Bombyx mori: one gene and its partner. The protein of the gene in region 1 binds, or shares a complex with, the protein of each later gene. Links are inferred from orthologs where the notes say so. Each region holds a gene or a part of one and is shown on either strand. Other genes may lie near its edges.

Region 1 (3,769 bases):
TTATATACCTTTTAAACCTTCTCTGGACTTCCACAAATAATTCAAGATCGAAATTAGCCAAATGGGTCCAGCCGTTCTCGACTTTTAGCGATACTAACGAACAGCAATTCATTTTTATATATATACATAGATTAGAATGTAGAATTTGACTGATCATAACGAACATGATTTTATTTATTATAGGACTTCACTAAACTGCTACAACTAGAAGAGGAACATGTACAGCGTCAATGTGAAGAAATTATTGCACTTAAACCAGATATTGTCTTTACCGAAAAGGGAGTTTCAGATCTTGCACAACATTACCTTGTTAAGGCTGGAATTACTGCTATCCGCAGGTATGTATTTTCACATTGTATAATATGTGAATAAAGCCTTCTTTGTTTTGTTTCATTGTGACTGATGTGCTGCTTTAATAAAAGGGTAGTAATAATTTAACACATTTTTGGAGGTAGTAAGTACCACACTAACTAGTGGTATCTCTTATTTTGAGCATGCTATCATTATGTCTTGTAACTATAAATAATACTATGTCTAATAATAATGTAATGTAGTAATAATAATGTAATGTAGTAATAATAATGTAATGTAGTAACAATAATGTAACTATAACACAGTAAATCACCATGCTTTCTGATTATAAAGATATTCTGGTACATTTGACGCATGTACATTCTGGTACATTTGAGACTATGACTTGATAGATGACCTATGTGGAGGGTGCAGTGAGGGTTTGAGGTTTATGCAGATCATAAAACTCACACACTCGTAACCACTTAACATTCAATCAACTATTTCCGCTTTGTGAGCAATAAACTAAATTTTCGATATGATTGGATAGAATTATTGAGTTCAGTTCTGTATTTGCCATTACAGTATTGAGCAGACACCTTTAAAGTTTTATTTCTCAGTTTAATTAATTGAAAATCATTCTAGACTCCGTAAAACGGACAACAACCGTCTAGCGCGGGCGTGTGGAGCAACAATTGTCAACCGTACTGAGGAACTCAAGGAATCCGATGTCGGCACTGGAGCTGGACTGTTTGAGATCAAGAAGATCGGAGATGAATATTTCACTTTTGTCACTGAATGCAAGAACCCCAAGGTACTAAATTAATTATATTTAAATCACTAATCTGCTCACATTCTGCTGTGATTATCATTACTTGTATGTAAGACATAGATTTCTTGAAACTATTCACTTACCACCTGTCATGTCTTGGTACTGTAAAATAATTATTCCCTGAAGTACCAGCTACAGCTACCAAGTCTCAAAACAATTGAAGAAGTGCATTAAGAATGTATGGAAGAAAAACACACAAACACTTAAATAGTAGATGTTATTACTACTTCATCTTTTTTTTTAAAATAAACTCACTATTAAACAGTGTTTAATATGTTTGGCGATTCTTAATGCATCAAACATGATAACAGTGAGTGTTAAATTGTCTGGTTAAATAATAAAGGACGATGACAACATTGATGTTGATGTCTGTGGGTTGCAATCCCTTAACATGAGACGAGAGCTCGTTCACCTATCTAAACAATAAAAAAGAGCATCAATGACCTACTGAGGACAGTGCAGCGTAAATTACCTTGATTAATAGTATTGTTGTTGTTGTCCTAGGATACCCCGCTAGTACATAGGGCTCTCACAAGTTGTCTCCACTTTACCCTGTCTTGCGCTTGCTCCTTGACCTGGAGTGATTAATAGTATACCTAACAATAATTTCATAGTATTACAATAATAGTTTAACGATATGCATTTTCTCCTCTCAACTATTAAAATGAATATAGAAAATGAGTAAAATAAAATGGAATAATAATCTAAAAATACATTTTGAAGGCATGCACAATATTACTCCGTGGTGCTTCTAAGGATGTCCTGAATGAGATTGAAAGGAATCTTCAAGACGCTTTACACGTCGCCAAGAATTTGGTAAGTGTATTGACACATTATCTATCTACTGTATATGAATTTGCATTTTTTTTTCGAATCGTATATTCGATTAAGAAATCATTGGTTTAAAAAAAATACAATCTTTCTTATTTTATATAATTATATAAAGTCATTGTATGATTAAAAAAAGAGAGAACTAAGACATTTGGTAATTCCAATAAATGTCCACATTTAAAAGTATGATTGATTTTCAAAATGTAATACAAAACAAATATAAGTGTTAATTTATTATTTTAAATGCCCATTCTGTCCTAATGATTTTAAACAGAACTCATACTAGAGATACGTTATTAGTTAGTACTTAGGGTAAATATAATTATTTTGTGTACTTAAAATGAAGTTGTTTAATATTGTTATTCATTTTCTTACTATTGCAGAATTAATATCTATACATATAAATAAAATTGGAGTGTCTGTTTGTAATATTGAAATAGCCTCTTTTTACTACATACATATGAATATATATACGGTACATATACCAAAATAACATTTTTTACAATTTTTGTCTGTCTGTCTGACTGTTCCGGCTAATCTTTGGAACGACTGGACTGATATTGACGGGACTTTCACGGATAGGTAGCTGATGATATAAGGAGTAACTTAGGCTACTTTTTTTAGACTAGCTCCGCCCCGCGGCCTCACCCGCAGTTATTGTCGTACCGCGCCAAACATGGCGGGACTCGCCTATCAATAATAAAATTTAATGTTTCCGAAGCGAAGCGAGGGCGGGTCGCTAGTTATAATTAAAAAGGTTGTTTATTTTACCTTTTTTTTTACAGAATTTTTTGAAGTGGTAGAATTAAATTGCCCATATTATGATATCGATATATCCATCATGTACAAATACATAATGATGGTATTGAAATTGATTATAATATAATGTTGTGCGTGCAGGTGGTGTCGCCGCGGCTGGTGGCGGGGGGCGGCGCCGCGGAGATGGCCGTGTCCAGCGCGCTGTCGCACCGCGCCGCGCACAACACGCCCTACAGGGCCGTCGCCACCGCGCTCGGTACTAGCACCCCGCTGTATACCTATGCTTAGCTAATAATATATAGTACAGTACACTGTGAACGTGTCCATAACAACGTATGCGCTATGAAAGAAGCTTCAAGCGGCCTACGCACGACCCTAAAATCAGTGGCGATATCGGGACGGCAGTGGTGGGGATAATCGTCGTGAGCTCGCCCCAGCGATTTTTAGAGTTTATGGTAAACAATAAAAATCGGGTTACGATTTGATTATACACGAGGTGATTTAGGGTCTTCCCCACCACTGTCCCGATATCGCAACCGACGTTACGAAACATATTATACGACATACGATTTAAGGATCAAATTCAAATGACAAGCTATTATTCACTGGGCTGAAGCGGTGCCGTTGCAGTGCTTGCATAGTGTGCCATGACCCTTACTCAAACCTTTAAAGGCGGAAGATCCTCAAAACAACTGGCATATACAGATCTAATCAATCTGCTTAGTTTGATCCTCGCATATTCTGCCAATATCATGGCCGATTTTTATGAACTTCATTACGATCAGTGAATGATAAAATTATATTTACATTTTTGTATTGTAGATAATGCGAACACAACAATAATTCTGATTTTTTTCAATACTAGAAGTAAATAGGAAAAATTTAAGTTTAATATTTAGAATATGAATCTCTAGAGATTTTAATACTTGCAGGCTGCACTGCGCTCAGAACGTTACGTAATGCCAGAGTTCCGCGTGCTTAGTGCGAGTTTCTTAACGTTCTCGATGGCGTAAAAGTTAACCCAATTTTGTATGCAGTTGGAACAGCGCCCCTAGC
Region 2 (4,392 bases), on another chromosome or scaffold:
GTAGGTGCCATATAATTATTTATATGGACCGAAATGATGAATACAATCCATAATTTAAGCACAATACACAACATAGTGTAAATTAAGCTGGTTTCTATTCCGAAGCGATGTGACGTGAATGATAATCAACAATACAATGATCAAAAAAAGTATGTGCATGTTATATTTTAGAAAATTATTATTTAATTTCCTTAAAAATCACAACTCTGAAACAAATTGATAAAATAGAATAAAAAATAGAAAACAAAAGGACTGGAAATGCAATAATACAATTTTATTTAATCAACATTTTCAAAATAATCTTTGAGCAAGAGTAAGATATCAGGTGAATAAGATAAAAAAACAGCTTTATCTGATTACTGCCAATAATAACAAAAATAAAAGAAATTCTTTCTAAGCTAAATAACTAAACTCAATTAATTCACTCACTCATAATTGGATATATCGGATTTTTAATTAATGTTACATTTAAAATCTGAGGCCTGTTTTTATTTGTGTGTGCGTTTTGAATGTTAACAAAATCATGATTCGATGCGTGAATAGATTCTGAAATAACAAAAGTTTTGATTCGTTTGAGTTCTTTTAACTTTTAATTTTTTTTATTGCTATAAAGAACATACGACCGGGCAGATATTACAAGGTAAATGTCGCGAAAAAAAGTAATTATATATATACTTTTCTTTTACCTATAATACTTACATAAACTAACTGATAAACACATTAACCTTCTTTACATCACGCAATTAAGTGATAGTATAGGCTAAAAAATCTATTATAAGATATCAGTGACAACCCTAACAAGCCATCCCTATTTTGTCTTTTGGCGTTCCAATTTTGTGTTTTCTCGTCCCTAATTTTTCCAGTCTCGTTCCCAATTACCCTACATACGTCCCAATTTTCCCCAAAAAGAAAGGAAAAAATATACATTTTTTATTTTGTCGAAATATTGTATTTAAAATAAGAATATTGCAACTTACCGTTTGTTGTGGTATTTCCAGGTGTATTAAAAACTTATATAAACTGTGATCTTATTGAAAAAACAACGATAATATTACTTTTTTTAAAAGTTCTTTAAGCTGTTTTAAAACTCACTTTTCAACCACTATTTTCAATTTAATTTGACGAATTTTTGGGACCAACTTAACTCATATTTAGTACTTCCATAGTTAACTTGGTTTTTCTTCTATACATTGATAAATATTAACTTAAACAAAATTAGGTAAATTCCGTGCTACAGGTACTTTGAGAATCTTCCGCAGGTTTGTCCCAATTTACCCCAGGATCCCAATTTACCCCATGTCATGGTACCTATTGTTCTACATATTTCATGACAAAGTTTCCTTTGCCTGTCTCAATGTTAAGTCTATGGAAAAAATATCTGGTGTCAAATTTCCTGAAAAGCTGGAGCAAGTTTATGTATTTCAACTATTAGAATTTTAATTGTTAATTTAATAAAATGCAGGTATAATAAATGGAACTTATCAGTAAAATGATGTGCAGTACATTAAAGTGAAAAGTTTAATTTTATTTTGTTGTTTATTTTTAGAACCCCAATGAAGATACAGAATGGAACGATACCCTTCGAAAGATGGGTATTATACCGCAGAAAGAAGCGGAGTTTTCGGAGGCCGATATTGTGAACATGATAGAGGACACAATACAGCAAAAGGAAGCTGAAAGTAGGTCAACAAATACGAATTTTTGAGGTTAAGCTCTACGATGTAAATGCAATATGTATTGGCTCATCAGTAATCAACAGTGAATCATTACCCGGAAACACTGAACGTAATGAACTTCGAAACTTTTTGGTTTAAGTACCTATAATTTCATTATTCATTATACATTCCTTTAGACTAGTCTAGTTTATAATTGATATGCATCACCAGTACACTAAATGAATCCTGGAATTAAACAGTCACCAAATTAATAGTTTTCTTTCTGCAATTCAATCATTTTGTTAAAAAAATTCTTTGCATCCAACACCTTATGAAATGTTCAGCCAAGCGAGACTCATCACCTAAATTAGCTCTAGTAAGTACAGTTAAGTGGGACGCATTCATTTTTGTACTGGCATAGATAATGAATATTCACCAATTATGAATTTTTTGGTGATTATTTGTTACATCAAAATACATTTGCTTGAATTTATATATAAACTAAATTGAAAATATTCAGGAATAACAAGACATGTTAAGACACTACTAATGTTTAAAGAAATATTTTTCTTAAAGATCTGACAAAATGTTAGTCACACTCTGTATTATTATAATTATAAATGTTCAGCTATGAATTTACAATTAACTTTGTGTTTTGTTTTCCATTCTGACATACTGAACAATTAACCCTACGAATTTAAGAAGTGACTCCCTCAAAAATGTAGTAATCATCACCTATTGGGTGCAGAGAATTGATAGGATAGTTAATGAGTTCATTTCATTGGTAGAACGCCAGTTCAGTTGATAGGGACACTTTTTTTAACATCAGCCAAAACACCATCGTAGATAGTTGTATGCTGAGGACGAGAGTTCAAGCCACCCTTGGCAAGTGTTTTGAACACTATAAACTACATAATTAACTGGACTGACTGTGATGGTCTCCAATAATAACAATTTTTACTTATTCACAGAACAAAAACAATTATCTGAGTTAGACCTTGATGGATTGGACGAACTTGAAGATTCAGAAGATGAGGCTGTTATAGAAGAGTACCGCAGGAAACGATTAGCAGAAATTAAGAAGCTGTCTGAGAAGCCTAGATTCGGAGAAGTGCGAGAAGTCTCTGGTCAAGATTATGTGCAGGAGGTTAACAAGGCTGGTCAAGACATTTGGGTGGTCATTCATTTGTACAAACAGGGGTGAGTGGAACGATGAATAAGATATAAAGACATTAGATAAACCAATATCAATGTATGTAGTTTTTTTCCTCTAGATAACCTAGCACTGACTTTTTATGTCATTGGGCCATTATGACCCTTTATCTGCAGACTGCTCCAATGATTATTATCAATCATATAAATCAAAAAATTTCAGAATACAACAATGTGCACTAATAAATCAACATCTACGAGAATTAGCAGTCAAGTTTCCCTACACAAAATTCTTGAAAGCCATTGCTCAGACTTGCATCCCAAACTTCCCAGAGAGGAATCTGCCTAGTTTATTTGTTTACTTTGAGGGCGAAATGAAGCAGCAGTTTGTGGGGTCCCACGAACTAAGGGGCACCAGTTTGACTTGTGATGGTAAGCTATGAGAATTGATTTTTATAGTTTTTTTTTAATTTAATTATAATTGGTTACATTTTTAGTAAGGATTACTATTAGTGATTGTTATCATATAACAATAGCACCACAAGGCTTGCTTCTCACCAATAGCAAATTTAATACAGTAGTAGTAATTTAGTCAGTAGCAGTATAACATGTGAGTCTCCATTGAGAAGCATCCGTTTTGCCACCAAGAGTGAACTTCAATACAGTGTATTGTAGTTGAAGTAGCTGTGAATAAATCAATTTTTAAATGATGGTAATTGATAGCTTGATACCTTATATAGCATGGCCAATAGTTCTATGTGAACTTTGTGAATCAATTCACTTTTGTAGTGGTTGTTATAGAGTTATGTATGAATTAAATTATATTGACATTGAAAAATAGACAAAAATGAAAATATAATGAATAAAATGAGTCTGAACCGTGAGATATTAGTGATTATAGTCAAATTGAGATGAGCTAGTGGAAAGTAATAAAATAAATGTATTTGAATTTCCAGAACTCGAATACATACTCGGTAAGGTTGGAGCTGTCGAAACGAGCATAACAGAAGATCCCCGACCAAAGATCAAAGACAAGTTGTTTACTGACCTTGGAAGTAATGACTGGTGATTTTAGAATATTAATTTATGTTAAAGTTAATTTATATTTTATGTTACATCTAACAGTATGTTTTTTTTTTAAACTGTATTCTGTCGCTTTACTTATCAAAAGCTTCTTATGTGAACTGTATTAAATTAATATATTAAGGTTTGTGCTAAATGAGCATCATTATCAAGTGAACTTGTGTTGTTATATAGGACCCCGTTGTAAAAAAAAATCTATAGTAATGGCGTATATACAGAGACCGGTTAACCCATGTCTGATGGCAGTCTTTTTGTGGTAATTGATTCAAATAAAAATTAAAACTTCTTTAGTCGCAAACAATTGATATAACTAGATTTAATTGTTACAACAAAACTTGCGAAAGTATGTGACTGTATGAAATTCAAGTCATATATTTTGATTTAAACGGTCAGGTCAAAGGGCATTTGTTTATTTAATCCTTTGAAAAAAAAAAATTTGCTCACTGACCTCTTATAAATGAGGACAAATAAGCCTCGCGTCGCAGCGCAGTTGGTCACTCAC

Evidence for each region.
Region 2: the proteins of T-complex protein 1 subunit gamma (region 1) and viral IAP-associated factor homolog are in contact, whole or in part, in a cryo-EM structure (PDB 8I6J), measured with the Homo sapiens proteins. The link is inferred for Bombyx mori from reciprocal best matches to the Homo sapiens genes CCT3 and PDCL3. Residues at the interface, in NP_005989.3 of Homo sapiens: Met47, Pro53, Met54, Val58, Met59, Thr60, Asn61, Asp62, Ala65, Arg68, Glu69, Arg167, Ile258, Glu261, Phe264, Leu268, Gln269, Glu271, Ser297, Asp298, Leu299, His302, Ser380, Glu382, Ile383, Arg389; in NP_076970.1 of Homo sapiens: Glu66, Ala70, Met73, Tyr74, Arg75, Arg77, Arg78, Trp82, Leu182, Pro212, Lys213, Ile216, Glu217, Asp218, Val219, Arg226, Leu229, Met230.

The regions. Positions count from the first base shown.
Region 1 is NC_085127.1:10,948,964-10,952,732, reverse strand, and holds part of T-complex protein 1 subunit gamma, read left to right. Parts: intron 1-183; coding exon 184-338; intron 339-936; coding exon 937-1,105; intron 1,106-1,846; coding exon 1,847-1,939; intron 1,940-2,854; coding exon 2,855-2,969; intron 2,970-3,769. UniProt on the Homo sapiens protein: Component of the chaperonin-containing T-complex (TRiC), a molecular chaperone complex that assists the folding of actin, tubulin and other proteins upon ATP hydrolysis.
Region 2 is NC_085131.1:763,749-768,140, forward strand, and holds the start of viral IAP-associated factor homolog, read left to right. Parts: upstream 1-1,306; 5' UTR 1,307-1,456; coding exon 1,457-1,462; intron 1,463-1,546; coding exon 1,547-1,679; intron 1,680-2,626; coding exon 2,627-2,855; intron 2,856-3,030; coding exon 3,031-3,239; intron 3,240-3,763; coding exon 3,764-3,876; 3' UTR 3,877-4,392. UniProt on the Homo sapiens protein: Acts as a chaperone for the angiogenic VEGF receptor KDR/VEGFR2, increasing its abundance by inhibiting its ubiquitination and degradation.